Notamacropus eugenii: one gene and its partner. The main gene of each other region encodes a partner of the protein of the gene in region 2 in a complex. Links are inferred from orthologs where the notes say so. Each region holds a gene or a part of one and is shown on either strand. Other genes may lie near its edges.

Region 1 (7,345 bases), on a different chromosome or scaffold from region 2:
CCCTATTCCCTGATTCTTCCCTTCTCATCCCTTCTTGAGCATGGGTCTTGACAGAGGACCTAATGCAGAAGGCCTGAGCACAGAAGCATCATTTGAGGTCATACCAACCACTGGGTTTCACTGTGCATGTCCTAATTCTGCAGCCTTCCCATTCCTCTTTCCCTGTCTCTCCCTAGGGTTCTCTCTGTGTGTGTGTGTGTTAGTATGCAAGGATAGCTATGTGTCTGGCCATCTTTCTGGGGCTTGTTTTTCTCTACCTTCTCCATCTCCAGTCCTCTGTAACTACATCTCCGGATCTCAGAGTTGAGAAGATCCTGAGAAGTCATTTCCAGTCTTTCAACCAGGAATTCCATAGATGGCTGATAGCTTCTAAGACAGGTGATCCTATGGCAATGCTGGGTTTTGAGGTGTGTTTGTGTGTGTGTGTGTGTGTGTTTGTGTGTGTGTGTGTGAGAGAGAGAGAGACTAACAGACAGAGTATGTAGACATGGTGCCATCATGATCTCACTAGGCTAAACAAGTCCTCTGGCTATCTCAACACCCACTTTGGCCACTAACCTCCCAGGTCCTCCCCCAAGGCTTCTGGACCTGGATAGAGGGAGTAAGAGGGTTGGAAGTAGAAAGCCTGCCCTGAGCACTGCCCCCTTAGTCTCCAACATGCCAGCAGGGGGTGCCCAGTGCCTGATCTGCCCCTGGCAGGGCAGTGGGGTAAGGAGGAGGGGGAGGAAGGATTGGGCCAGATTCCCACAAGAGGGGAGGGGCCTAGCTCTCCATTCTTCCTACTCACCTGGCCTGAGGAGCATCCGTTGCCAGCCTGTACAACGGCCCCTCCCTCTGGTCCCCCAGCCCCCACTTCTCCTCCAGCTCCGGTTTGCTTTATAAAGCAAACCAGCCCTTATATAGAGCTTGGGCCTCCCTGCCCAGCTTCCCCCAGAGCATCCTTATATGGAGAGGCTGCTCTGCCGGGTGCTCCAGGGAGAGAGGGGGTAGTCTGGAGCTGGGTCCCAGTGGGGGATGGGCAGTCCAAGTTCTCCCCCCTCCCCCTCTCTCCCAATTCTGTTATACAGGGAAGAGAGGGGGAGGGGGGAAGACCCCTTATTCCCTGGGGAATCTCCGTTTTCTTGTCTGAGAAGGGAGGAAGTTTAGACAAAATAATTTCTAAGATCCTTTCCTGCTGGTCTGGGATTTTAAAATTCTCCCACCCAGCTAAGACATCAGCCCCACCAGCCAAGATCAATCCTCCTCCCCCCATCCAAGTTTCTTTCTCCAAAGAACTGAGCTTTTCCATCAGAAAAGGAGACAGGGGCTATCAGGAAGAGTGCTGCTCTGTGAGGTTATTTGAGACCCAGGAAGAAAGGTTCCTGGGGGATTTGGAGGATAAACAGGAGTCTACAATGATTGGAAGTCAGTCTGAACTTCTTAAGCCTCCCATGTTCTCTTGTTGGGGGATGGGGTGGAGATGATTCCTGCTAGCCATCATTATCAACAGGTTGGCCTTTCTGGGTATTCCCAGCCACCTGTCATCAAAAACATAGCCAGTCTGTTCTCCTGGGAGTCCAGAACAGGAAAAGCTCAAGCAGGTGACAAGGTGATCTACCTCCTTGGGAGTTTTCTAACCCAGAGCTCTAGAAGAGTTCATGATAACAGTTCAGAACCAAGTATCCAAATAGTCCCAATGCCTCCTAATATCTTCTTGCCTTTTCATTGTCACTCAGAACCTCTGAGATTCAGCTTTGCTCCCCATGTTGGGGTTCGGGGGTCCAGGACTTAATATCTGTCTGATGAGGGATAGTGGAAGAGTTAAAATTTCTCAGTTACTGGTCAAGGCATCTCCCTGCAGGTGGCCCTGGAGCTGAGGGATGCCCTCAGCTGGGGCTGATGGGGGATGCTGAGGGAAAGGATCCTGCCTCTCCTGGACCATTAGTTGTTTGGTACCTCTCCTCCCATGGGGAATCTATCCCCTTCTTCCTTCTTTCACCCACCATACTCTTTAAGATTAACCTTATACAAGAGAATGGGTGTGAAAAGCTGAACTACAGGGTACAAAGTAGGGCACAAAATCCTGTCCTCAGGGGGTAAGGGCTTCTAGGGAGGAGATATTCCCAAGAGGAGTGTTATGAGATTGGTGTTTGAGCAAATCCGGACTCCCTCAAAAGGCCTACTCAGCTGAGGCCCTCTCTCCCTCAGGCACCAGGACCCACCCCACAACCTAGACCCCTCAGACATGTCTTGGACTTCCTGTTCCACTAACCTCTCTTCTCTATCCCCTCCTTCTTACTGCCCATCCAAACTTTCTTTCTCCAGACTCTGGCCCTCTCCCCTGCACCCTTTTCCTGCTCCAGTCCTTCGACGCCTAGGCCTTTGACCCTTCAATCTCTGTCTCCTGTTCCCCTCTGCCCATTCTGCCCTTTCTCCTTCCCCTCCAATCCTTCTCCCCTGACCCTTCCACCCCTCCATCTTCCATCTTGTCCCTTCCACCTTCCAAACCCTCTCCTTTCCTCTCCTCTTCGTCTCACTCAGATCTCATCACTGTTGGGGAGCCCCCATTACTCCTCACTGGCAGGTTTTGGACCAGAAACTTCAGAAGCTAGTGAATGGTGCGGGTAGTTCATTTGGGTGTGGGTAGAAAGATCCAGGGCTTGAGCTGGACAAGAATGACCCTCATTTGGTCTTCAGGACAGTGGCCCTCGTTCCCTGGTCTAGGCCTGGCTCCCTGGATTAGTCTCCTTATTATCCTTCCCTCCAGGTGCCTAGAACCAGAGCGAGTGATGGGGCTGGGGAGTACTGAAGGAGGAGGAAGAAACTCAGAGCCTGGAAGGCAGGAGGTGGGCCTGGGACATGACATTTCTCCCTTGGAGGCTAAGGACTAAGAATCCTACCCTGGGTAAACTGAGCGAGATGATAGAGTTAAGGTAATTACCTTGTTCTTGACCTCAGCCGACAGTCCATAAGCAGGGCCCCGGTTGAAGTGAGCAGTAGACATCCTGGTGGTGCTGCTGCCGGTGGAGGGGAGCCTGGCCTGGGTTTCTCCTGGTGCCTGTCTGCTGCTGCTGCTGCTGCTGCTGAAGTGGCCTCAAATTTTCCCTGCAACTTTTTGAAAGCTGGAACTCTGGGCTTCCCCATATGAGCCCTGGCTGGTTGTCTCATTGGGCCAGAGGACCCACCAATGGCTGAGAAGCAATCCCCCCCTCCCCTTCCCCCACGTCAGCCAGTCCCCCCTCCCCCACCCCACCCCCCTCCCCCAACCCCGTGATGTCAGGCCCCTGGTATTGGGAGCCGATGCAGTCATTGTTTCCACCTTGGTGGGGGGAGGGATGTTGGAGGGGAGGGGAGGCCCGGCTATAGTCATTCTTAGCCCAGAAAGGGGGGTGGGGGGAGTGTGGAAGAGTAACCAGCTGAGAATTCCTGGGGAGGACCTAGCCATTTGGAGACGGGAATAGGGCTGGGGACAGGGACAGTCTGAGACAACAGGCACCATCCCCCCCATAGGCTGGGTTAACCCTATGGATTGCCCATGTCTGGCACTCTGTACTGGGTTTCTGTGTCTATTTGTCTCTCTCTGTGACCGTTCCAGAGATGGAGGTCACTTTATAGTGAGAGACAGAGATGAACTCAGAGATAAACGCTGTCAAAGACTGTCTCTGGGGCAGTTAAGTCCCACCCGAATTTATTAAGCACCTATTCAACATCTTTCCTGCGTTCTAGAAGCTTTGTCTTAGTTGATGAGTTTATATCTCTCTCAATCCCTGTTTTCTCCTGATTCTCTTTCTGTCCCTTTCCTCCTTTTATTCATCCTCCACCCTTTGGGGTTCGAGGACTAAGACCTTCCCATCATTGCCTTCAATTCCTGGGCATCTGTGGATCAGCAGAAAGGGTAAGGGGGAGAATAGGGGAGTAATTGGCCCAAGTCAAGACCCAGGCTCTTTAGGGCCAATTTGGCTTCTGAGTCTTGGGTCCCCCTCAGGCTTCCTGGAAGCTTTCAGCACCCTGGGAGATGGGATGGGGAGGGGACTTTATGTGGTCCCCCCTCCACCTTATAAGGCTCTCCTTTTTCTGCAGAAACACTTGTGGTTTTTTTCCCCTTGGGCAGCTTTTCTCCCCTTCTGGGAATCCTGCCCTTGCATTGGAGAAGGGGGGATGGGAAGCCATGAGTGTTCAGAACAAGGAGAGGGAACTTTCCCTCCAAAGGGATCACCAAGGGAGAGTAGTGGGGTACAGTAGGAAGAACCCTGAATTTGGAGTTGGTCTCCATCCAAATCCCAGCTCTGGCACTGATTAAGCATGAGACTTGGGGCGTGTTACCTCCTTTAGCCTTAGTTTTTCCATCTGTAAATGAAATAGTTGGACTAAAATAGGGTTCTTAGCTTTTTTGTGAGTCATGGACCCCCTTGGCAGTCTGGTGAAGCCTGTGTGTGGACCTCTTCTAAAAATCCTGTTTTGAAATGCATAAAACAAGTACGTAGGGCTACAAAGCAAGCTAAATCCTATTGGAAAACATTTCTCAAAATATCTAAAAACAAGTCCAGGGAATCCTAGGTGAGGAATCCCTAGGTGAGGTCACTAAATTATCTCTAAGGCCACTCCCAACTCTTAGTACTGTGCAAAAGAATGAGAATGAGCCGAAGGAAGGAACTTGGATCGTGTACCAGGGTAAAAGGCTATTCAATCTAAATCCCTTGGACATGATGTCTGTGGGTGACTAACACAGCGTCAGCGTCAGGGCTGTGGGCCATCCTCTCCTCCCTCTCTTCTTTTTGTTGTATGCTTCACCATTTATAGAATGGACCTCTTCAGCTCTGAAGTCACCATCAGCCTGGCTTGGAGGATGTGATCCCTTGAGGCCCCTACTGCCACTACCCCTGGAAAGGCCCACTTTGAGGCCCTCCAGAGTGTCCACCCCCCCTCAGGGAAACCAAGGCCCCCAACCCCAGGACAAAATTGTCTCTTCTTCTACCATGATTGTGGATTCCCTTGCCTCCCAATCGGTCTTCATCTTTAATGAGGATTAGTGGAGGGGGGTTTAGGGATTTCAGCATAATCTGATAAAGCTCTATGAACACTGGGTATAGAGGCCATGTTAGAAAACCTGGAAGACAGCCCTAATTGGTGGGTAGGATGAGAGGTCTTTTGTAGATGTTCACAAGCCTCCCTCTCCACCTGTTTTCTTTTTGGTACAATGGGAAGATGACTGATAGGAAGGGAGAAGAGTGCTAAGTGCTTCCAGTTATGATAATGGGGAGTGGGATGCTGGGAAGGTTGGAGTGATTCACCATCAATGTACATTTAGAACATCTGAGTAATGACCCTCCTTCAGCAATAGGCATTGTCACTTCCATACCACCCCCACTAAGGAACAGGTGGTCACCCTGTCATGGAGTAAGAGGTTTTATCATCTCTTTATAAAGCGATGAATGGGCAAACACACACACACACACACATCCCTCTTGTCTTTGGTTCTAAAAGGGCTCATTACATTGTTCCCAGGCAAGGAGAAAGAAAGAGGTGACAAGCTGGGGTCACAGATCAGACCAGCTAGAAGGGCCCAGGCCTTGCCCCCAAGTCTAGAACTGTAAGCTACTTACTTCATTACCTTTATGGCTTGAGGATAGACGAGTCACCTAACCTCTCTCTGGGCCTCAGTTTCTCCACCTGCAAAATGATCCAACAAGCATTTATTTGTGAAGGGCACTATGGTAGGACCTGGGGACACCAATTCAAAATGGAAACAAGTTCCTGGCCTCAGAGAGCTTATATTCTAGTTGGGGAATGAGCTCTAATTTTTTTTCTATTTGAAATTTTATCTAACTTTAAATTCTTCTTCACCTCTCTCTGTTGACATGTGTGATATTTATGTTGTCCAACTCATAATTTTTAAAACTGCAAGGGACCTTAGCAATCACATAACATAGTCTGATCCCTTCAGTTTCATTTCTTTTTTTGGTTTGTTTATTTGTTTGTTTTAGTCTGGACCTGTGATTTCACTGTGATAGGAAACTGTCAGTATGGAAACTTCTCCCATTGATAGAGGTCTGCAATTCATCCCCTACTTACCGTCTAAGAGGGTCACCAAAAGGTTAACAGATTCACCTATGACCACACAGCTGGTCTAAGACTGGACTGGAATCCAGGTCTTTCCTGACTCTAAGACCCATTCTCTATCTCTTAAGAGTTTAGTTGTCTTGCAGCAAGATCACCTAGTTTGCAAGTAGCAATGTCACTATTTGAACCCAGAACCCGTGTAAGCTCCTCAAAAGCAGAGTCTAAGTAATATTTATAGTTGTGTCCCCTCCAGGACCCTTCCCCTACCCCCAATCTCTTTAAACAGACTTGGTCTGATCTTGGGGCCTGGCCCAAATATTCTCCTTTTCCCAGAGTTTACTCCAGGAAATCTCTGAATACCATTTAGGTCTACAAATGGTATATAAAAGGCTCCTCAGATCCCCTACAAGTATTAAAGGTGGCAAATGCATTTAACCAGTGTAGAGTAGTCTTTATTTTATCCCTCAATAAGACATGCAGAATGCAGAGAATACAAAGGACTCAGGAGCCCATAAACAAGTTCAGAACACACATTAAACCACTCATAATAGCTCATAAACTATCAAAAGAATTTTTTTCCACCAGGGTCCTAAATTCCTCCATACCAGAAGCTCCTGCCTGTGGTTTAGACTCCAAAGGAATATTTAGTTGAGGTCCCTGGTGGGGTTACCCTACAATATTCAGGTGTGTCCCTCTTCCCACAGGAGAGAATGTATTATCCTTCCCCTAGCTCCCCAGATTCATTGGACCATCTTTGCTTTCTGTGTAGATTTTTTTCTGGACCTAGTAGTCTTAGACTATTCCCCCTGGAAGGGAAATTTGGTGCTGTTGGATCACTTGACTTTCCAGATGACCTTCACTGTCTGCATAGCTACCTTTAATAGCAGAGTACAAATTCCAGGCCCTTTGGTCCTCTATATTGTGGCTTTTGGTCCCTTGCCACTGTTCTGCCCAGTACCAGTAGCCAGATTCATGATCCTCTTCTCTGTCTCTAAGGCTCTGTCTTAAGGCTAGATTCTAGGACTCTTCTTATGCTTGGGTTTGCTGCAAAGGTAACCTCTAATACTGGTATTGCCCAGGAAATCTCTCTTCTCTGGCTAGGACAGATTTCTGAATTATGCCTGTGAAATTCCCCTCCCCGCCCCCCCACCTTCTACAACTAAAGGCAAAGGTCCAGAAACAACTTGATCTGGGAACTTCCCTTTCAGGCTACTCAGGCAAGAATATGTCTGCCTTGCCATGTGCTTCTGCAAAGCTGCTCTTAGGTAGCAACTATTGTGCTTTCCAGAACGTCCCAGAAGAAAAG
Region 2 (7,886 bases):
CATAGTCGAAATGTTCATGACGCTGAACTATCTTTTGCTTCCAATCTAATCATCCCGAAAGCTCCACAGTAAGAAGCATCTCAGACTTAGCAAACTCTTCCATTTCTTATTGCTAGCCACACTATTATACTCTTCCTAAAGTCCCAAAGATACTCCCTGACCGACTATTTCACTACTTATCATTTGAATTGATCACTGGGCTTCTGAAAACAACTGCCATTTCCCCCTTCCTAATACAAAATCACAGTTCCCTCTGCATCAGCCTCAAGTCCTACAGAAGCTCTGGCCTCAGGCTGCCCTCACTCCACAATCAGCTCAGGAAAATCATACCCATGGACTTCTTTTCCATTATGCAAACTTGAACCAGAAGGGAGATAGCCCCTGCACATCATTAGATGAAACAGGCATGCATGTCAGAGCAGAGAATTAATTTAACAGACAAAGTTAGAGAGGGTGCAGGTCACTCTGCTCTCCAAGCCAGAGACATCAGGCAAGCAATCAGGTCAGCATGGACAAACACTTAACTTAGCCATACTCTCCTCACCCCCTCACAGATGTGTGTTTTTCCTTAAGCTGGGACAAGAAGAGCAGACTGAGGTTGGCTGTCGAGGACCGAATATTGCAATCCTTAATTACATGAGCAACAAAGGCATCAGTGGCATTGGACATAAAGGAGGATATTCCAAGCTACCAAATCAGTAAAGGCTGGGAAAAGCAAACACCCAGTCCTTCCCCTTAAATTAACCTGTTGTATCATGTGTAATGAAAGGAATACGGAGTATTATGTAACACATCACCTACCGAGTACTCCATGGCTAGGAATAGGATGAGGGCAGCACCATGTAGTGGCTAGAAAACCAAAGCCCTAGATCTGAGTTCCACTCTGTGCCTCATTACATGAAACAGGCATGCAAGTCAGGGCAGAGAATCAAAGTAGCAAAGAATGCTAAAGAGGGTTTAGGTGCCCCCAACTGCCAAGCCTGAGCTGTCAGGCAAACAAACTGTCAGAATGGACAAAAACTTAGCTACACCATCCTCGCCCAACGCATTTAATTGGGTGGCTCTAGGCAAGACACTTAATCTCTCTGCCTCCAGCAATTCAACTCTCTATCTCTTTAAATTACAGGTGAATTGCAAACCTTCTTTGGTAGAAGGAGTTGGCACACTGGGAATTCTTTACATGAAAGAAACAAAGCCAAAATAGAGCATGGCAATATCCTGCCTTCTCCAGTCATGTCACATGTTTACTGAAGTACTGTATCCTTCCTTGGCCAGTTGTTTCTTATTGTATATATGCTATATAATTGTGGGATTTGGTTTCCTGATTTCAACTGAATCTATCCCTCTGATCCTCTCCCTCCCCTTCCTCTATCTCTCTCTGTCTCTTTGTCTGTCTCTCTGTCTGTCTCTCTCTGTCTCTCTGTCTCTGTCTCTGTCTGTCTGTCTGTCTCTGTGTCTCTCTCTCTCTCTCTCTCTCTCTCTCTCTCTCTCTCTCTCTCTCTCTCTCTCTCTCTCTCTCTCTCTCTCTCTCTCTCTTTCCCTCTCTCTCTTTCCCTCCCTCCACATTACCTCATGCCACTGAGATCAGGGCTAGTCATCCAGGGCTAAAACATGCCAGCACAAGACAGATCAAAGTAGTGAAAACGGTCACAGGAAGACCAACAACCAGTCCATTTACAACTGTGATCAGATCTGACACACTAATGTGCGTTTCACACTGGAAGTAATGCAATCGTTGTAGGAAAGCAACTATGCCACGGGAACTAAGCACAGTTCTCCCTTAGAAGGAACAATTACAATTAGCAGCCTGCCTCTGTCTTACTTGAAGCAAGTTAAATTATATCAGGAAATCGAACCCTTTAAAAAATATGAACTACCTAGTAGATAAATGTATTCCTTAATTATGATAGAAAACATGGATCCAGATAGTTTCGGCATGAATCAGTCAACAATGGAGGGATATTCGAGACAAGTACAGAGGCTCACGTAGTGAACCAGAGAGGGTCTAGTTCATCTTGGCCATTTCAGGTTTTTCGGCTGGACACTTCTGGCTGCTTGGAGACTTGGATAACTGAGGAGGAAAGTTCACTCTTTTCTTCCTCTTTGCACAGACATACATACGCACACATATACACACATCTGTCCATTCTGAAACCTCAATTCCAAGGGATTTCTCTCGGCTTTCTCCGAATGAGATCTCTCTGTCCCTCTCCTTACGCTTATTTCGGTCTCCTTATCCATTTCGCCCACTTTGACCCTCACTCTGTCTTATGTTTCTCTGTCTCTCTATGTGTTGGTCCCTAGTACTCTCTCCCTCTCTCTTTCCCTCTCGACACTGTCATTGCCAGATATAAAGGCAGAGGCAGATAGGAAGGCAACCGATGAGTGAGGGAGGGAAGAAAGGAGGGAGGGAAGGACTGGAGATGTGCAACAGACTGAGACATTCAGAAGTGTCGGTGGGTCCCTCTTTAGGGAGATGCGAAGGAGAGAGAGAAGCAGCCGTGAGAACCCCTATCGCGAAGGCGGCCAGGCGTGCAGGCAGCTCGCCCCTAGGCAAGGCAGACGAGCCCCGAGCGTCCAGCCAGGCAGCTCCCTGCGGGGCAGCGCACTGCTTAGCCCCGCGAACGCCTGACCTCCCTCCCAGCCCCCCGGGGACAGCGCCCAAGCCTCCCCCCACCCCCCCAACTCCCCCGGTCGGGCCCAGCCCGCTTACTGGGGGCTCTTGGGGTAGAAGGGCAGCGTCACGTGGCTGAGGTCCTGCAAGTCGAAGGCAGTGGGCTCGGCTGAAATAGCCTGGCGCTTGGTGCGGGGCTCGCCTCCGCTGCTCCCCGCGCCGCCGCCGGGCTGCGCCGCCTGCTGTGCCTGCGCCGCCTGCTGCGCCTGCTGCGTGGCGGGCCGGATCACCGAGCGGTACTTGTCCAGCTCGTTCTGCAGCTTCTGGATGAGCTCGTCCTTCTGGTCGAGCTCCAGCTCCAGCTCGTCTATGAGCGCATCGCGCTGCCTTAGCTCCTCGATCTTCTCCTGGAGCGCGTACTGCAGGTCGCGCAGCGTGCCCATGCTTGCTGGTCCTTGGGGCTGGCCCCGGGCCCCCGCTGGCTCGGCGGCGCGGTGCCCCCCGCAACTTTGGGCAAAGTCCCCGCCGCCGCCGCTGCCGCGGGCGCTCCTGCTCCCCCCGGTGCCCCCGGCCCCCGGCCCCAGCCCGGGCACGGGCAGCGGCACGGGCAGTGGCACGGGCACAGGCGGCAGCAGCAGCGGCGGCGGCGGGCAGCGGGCGGCGAGTAGCCGCTCACTCCCGACGGGCGGCCTGAGCTGCCCCCTCGGCGGCCGCCGCTGAGCCTCTGCTGCTCCTTCGGCTGCCTCTACGGCTGCCCCGGCCCCAGCCCCGGCCCCGGCCCCCGCGCCCGCCGCCGCTCCCGCTCCCGCTCCCGCCGCCGCCGCTGCTGCCTCCCCACTCCCGAGCTCAGCCCGGCGGGGCCACGGAGCATGCCCAGTCGGACGGCCGCCCAGCGCCCTGGAGACTTTCGCTGTGCGGATTCCGCTTCTCGGGGCGGGGGAGACGAGCCCTGGAGCCCTGGCGAGGGGGGCGGAGCTGAGCGCTAGCTTGTGCCCCACCAGAGGTGGGAAAGGACTGGGAAAATGAGGGGAGGGCGAGGGCACAGGGAGGGAAGCAGGGTACTGGACTTGGTCGAGGTCCTGTGGCTGGCAGGCAGAGAGGGAGCCAGGGAGGGAGGAAACAGAGTGAGCTCCAGCCAGCGGAGGAGGAGAGCAGATAAGTGCCTCCTTGGCCCCCGGGGAGGGAGTTTTAGGCGGAGCTAGCCAGACAGCATTTATGGGGTACGCGGCGTGGGTGGGGTGGCACACTCCAGGCGGGGAGAAGTGAGCCCCTGGAGGAGTTGCGCCCGTCCTGGGGAAATGAAATGAGGCGAGCGAACAACCTGCTGTTCACGGTTGACTTTGTCCAGCTCCAAAGCTGGAGACGCCGGAGATGTTGAGGAATGTTAGCCGAGGCTGGGATCCGCAAAGGAGAGCGGCTCCCTGCCCGCCGGTATCCAGCCCAGTGTGCCAGGGCTGTGCGCCTTCACACACACACACACACACACACACACACACACACACACACACACACATGCGCACACTTACACACACACCTCACCTGCCAGCCCTATGTTCCCATCTGCAGGTGAATCACACCTAAAGAGAAAACTTGCAAGAGATTGAGGGAGCGATGCAAAAGCAGAGTAGATGCCGATGGATGGAGCAAAGCCTTCGTCCGTACTCTTCCTCCCCCTCTCCCCGTTTTATCCCCTTTCCAGAACTGTCTACGACTCACTCCCTGCCTGTCGTGCTACCTACTTTGAGCCGCCTCCAAACTGAAATAGAAAGAGATGGAGATGCCTCGGGCAGCCTAGGAGGAATACATTTGGGGCTTGACGCTTGGCGAAGCGGCTGTTTCTCCCTTCTGACTCCTGCCATACTCAAGGCCCTCCTTCCTGCCCATCAGAGGGTCTCTTAAGATCCTTTTACTCCCTCCAATTGTCATGGGGTAGAGGGAGATCACTGCTGAGGTACAAAAAAAAGTGTATTTTAAAAATAAGCCCTACCCTTCCCAACATCATATCTCCTCCCGCACTCTCCCTCTCCGAAAAAAACTAAGTTTCCGGGACCGTGATACAAATCTGCTTTCATAAGAGACCCAGCAATGAGCCCAGAGACAGGGACAGGGAGGGAGTGGGGGACGGGTGAGGAAGAGGAGACACAGAAACCGAGAGACTGAAGACAGAGACTTAAAAGAAGAGAGGAGACCCTGCAGTAAAATGAATTTCACAACCTTTCGCCCTGCCCCTACTTCAGCTCTGGAAGAATAATAAAAAGTCCCATTTTAGCTTTTTCCCTGGGGGTTCTGTTTGGAGATGCTGTATTTAGCATGATTTTTCTGCCAAACATTTGATCTCCGCCCCACCCCTCACCCCTCACTCTGTCTGCTGGATGGTCCTTTGTGTACAGAGGACTCCACCGATGGGCAGTATCCAAACAACTCTCAATATTCCCCAACTCACAAAGGTTCTGAGCATATTTACCAGACCTGCGCCCCACAGTTCATGGGACAGCCAATTTTATAGCCATAAATAGTGGATTTGGCCACTTGCTTGAGCCTTTCCTGTAAGACTCTGAAAACAAAACAATCCTCCCCAAACATAAAGCTTTTGAAGGTGGCTGGAAATCTGGTGTCCTTTAGTGCGTGGTATGGCAGATCATGCCATATATCTGAAACCCTATCTGGCAGCCTTCTCCAGTTTGGCTTTTTTCTAATTGACTAAATCAGGGCTTTCTTTCCAGAAGACTGGCTGCCAAATGGGGGCTGTCCAAGGCATGTGGCCCCCAGGTCAGCTGCAAGGAGAAATGCTGGATTGCAAGTTACATTGAAGAATGGGATTCCAATCTGCTCTGGCCACTGCCAGTGTGATCTCACTTCTCTACGATTCATTTTCTCCTCTAGAAAATGAGGAGGCTCGACTAAAGGCTACTTACACATGGAGAATCAAGGAGGGTGAACATCTTTTTGGAATAATTCAGGATATCTTCCTCCCCAAAGACCTTTCACCAACTATTTGGATTATATGGGGGGTTGGGGGGAGGACAGCTCCCTAAAATGCACTAAGACTTTTGGGTCACTGCTTTTAGAGCTGAAAGGAACAATACAGGTTCACTACTCCAACCTCCCATTTTACAGAGGAACAAACTGAGGCTAAGAGAGATGAAGTGACTTGCACAAACTCCTACAGTAAATGGCAGAGCCAGAATTCAAACCCACACCCTTTAAATTCAGTCAGAAATAAGTTTTGTTCTTGGATTATCCAATTTGCCTCAGTTACACACACACACACACACACACACACACACAAACACAAACACTTTGTGTAGTTACAACCACAGGGTGCATTTGGACCATATTTTAACATAGGAAAAATGCTACAAGCCTGGAAATGATCTTTCTGGAAGCCAGTGCCTTGTAAATGTTTGTTCAGCAAATGGATAACAATAGACTGTATGGTATATGCATGCAGGGATGTCTAGGTGGGAACTTTCTCAACCAAGGCTGCTTACAAACCATTTATGACTCATTAGAAACATGCGTGGCGTTTGTCTGATGCTTACAAGTTGAACAAGTTTAACTTCTCCAGTTTTGATTTAAAGAAGAAATCCCAGAAGAAAATGTGACATTATCACTTCACCACATTAAGAAGAGTACCAAGGATAGAGATCTATCTGTTATCTTGGGGTGGGAGGAGTGAGGGATGTGCTCCTTAAAACACTATATTGTTTTTATCTATTCTTTTATATGCACTTCTGCTATCCAGAATTGTATGTTTTGACTCAGTTTCCTTTGGAATCTTTTAAAGTGAATAGTTGTTTTTATTTTGTGTGACTGTCACAGTATGAGCTCTCTGAAAGTCTTTTTTGGTCTCAAACTATAATTTGCTTCTTCCCACACACATACTTTAACATCAAAACACCCTGCAACGTGACAGATCTGTTAAGTTAGAGTTTAGAGCATTTGGGGGGACACTGAACAGTTCAGTGACTTTTCCAGAGTCAGGTATCTAGGATATGTCAGAGACAGGTCTTCCAGTATTCCTTATTCCATGACTGCATCTCTACCCATTAGACTACTCTGCCTATTCTCAGCTAACAAAAATTATTAGATGCCAGTTTGAGCTTCCATGTTGTTGTTGTTGCTGTTTTTGCCAAGACTAGCAAATATTTTTATACACAGGCATATTCTCTGGAAAACCATTTCTATAGGTCACAGTAGTGACTCCAGTTTTCCTATGCAGTTTCTAGGGAATCTATGTGATTAACAGTCATACAACCAATCACTCCCCCCACACACCTACCAAAAAAAAAAACAGTACAGGTACTTGTAATTCAAAAGGCATACCTATTGGAGCAAGCGTATAATATAGCTAAAAGAGTGGGACACCAAGGAGACCACTGTTCAAGTCCCAACTCTGACTTGCTGTGTAAACCTGAGTGAATTACTTCACCTGAATTTCAGTGTCCTACTCTAGTAAATGGAGAAAATGAAGCTTAGGAAAGGACACAGGTTTTAAGGGAGAAGAAAACCACAAATCCCAGCTTTGTCCCCTGACTACCTATGACCCTGAGCAATCATCACCAAGCATTTATCAAGTACTGATCATATTCCAGGTGCTAAGAGAGTAGCTGTGGATATGAAGACACACAAAGTGAAATAAACCCTGCAAGTTGTTTCTCCCTCTTTAGGCCTCAGTTTCCACATTTGTAAATTGATGAGGTTGTATTATTTGATCTCTCAAGTCTCTTCCAGATGGATTCTATCTCAAAAGAGTTTAACCAAAAACATTCTGTAAACTTGAAATTGCTATGTAAATGAGAGTTGATTGGTCGGTTATCACAGAGCTAGAATGGACGGTCCTTTGATGTTCAAATGCTCCTCTCCAGAGCAAAGAGATGGCAGAGTTCACACCTCAACTGCCACTGCTTTTCTTTTTACATTTTACATGAGGTAAAAATTTTTGAACATCCAAATTAAAGTTTCCCCATCTGTAAAATGGGGTATTGGACTGCATGAACTCAAAGTCCCTGTCAGCTCTCAAATTCAAGGACTCTGTGCTGGGATCTAATTAATTTTCACTACCCCATTCACAGAGGTAATGTTTGACATTTATATCAGGACACACATCAACCAACAAGTATTTATTAAGCACCTACTATGTGTCAAGGTGGCTTAGTGGATAAAGAACTGGTAGAGCCCCAGTTCTACCACATGCAGGCCACCCCAGGCAAACTCCCATCTCTCTAACTTGGAGAGCTGGTATGGATCTACATCAGCAGAGGGAGGCCCT

Evidence for each region.
Region 1: PRKG1 (region 2) and CNN1 share a complex: the UniProt entries of both Homo sapiens proteins name them as parts of the cGMP kinase signaling complex. The link is inferred for Notamacropus eugenii from reciprocal best matches to the Homo sapiens genes PRKG1 and CNN1.

Annotation. Positions count from the first base shown.
Region 1 is NC_092875.1:78,383,267-78,390,611, forward strand, and holds the start of CNN1 (calponin-1), read right to left. Parts: upstream 3,098-7,345; 5' UTR 2,984-3,097; coding exon 2,921-2,983; intron 840-2,920; exon of another isoform or gene 788-839; intron 1-787. UniProt on the Homo sapiens protein: Thin filament-associated protein that is implicated in the regulation and modulation of smooth muscle contraction. It is capable of binding to actin, calmodulin and tropomyosin. The interaction of calponin with actin inhibits the actomyosin Mg-ATPase activity.
Region 2 is NC_092872.1:278,293,575-278,301,460, forward strand, and holds the start of PRKG1 (cGMP-dependent protein kinase 1), read right to left. Parts: upstream 3,162-7,886; 5' UTR 3,058-3,161; coding exon 2,714-3,057; intron 1-2,713. UniProt on the Homo sapiens protein: Serine/threonine protein kinase that acts as a key mediator of the nitric oxide (NO)/cGMP signaling pathway. GMP binding activates PRKG1, which phosphorylates serines and threonines on many cellular proteins.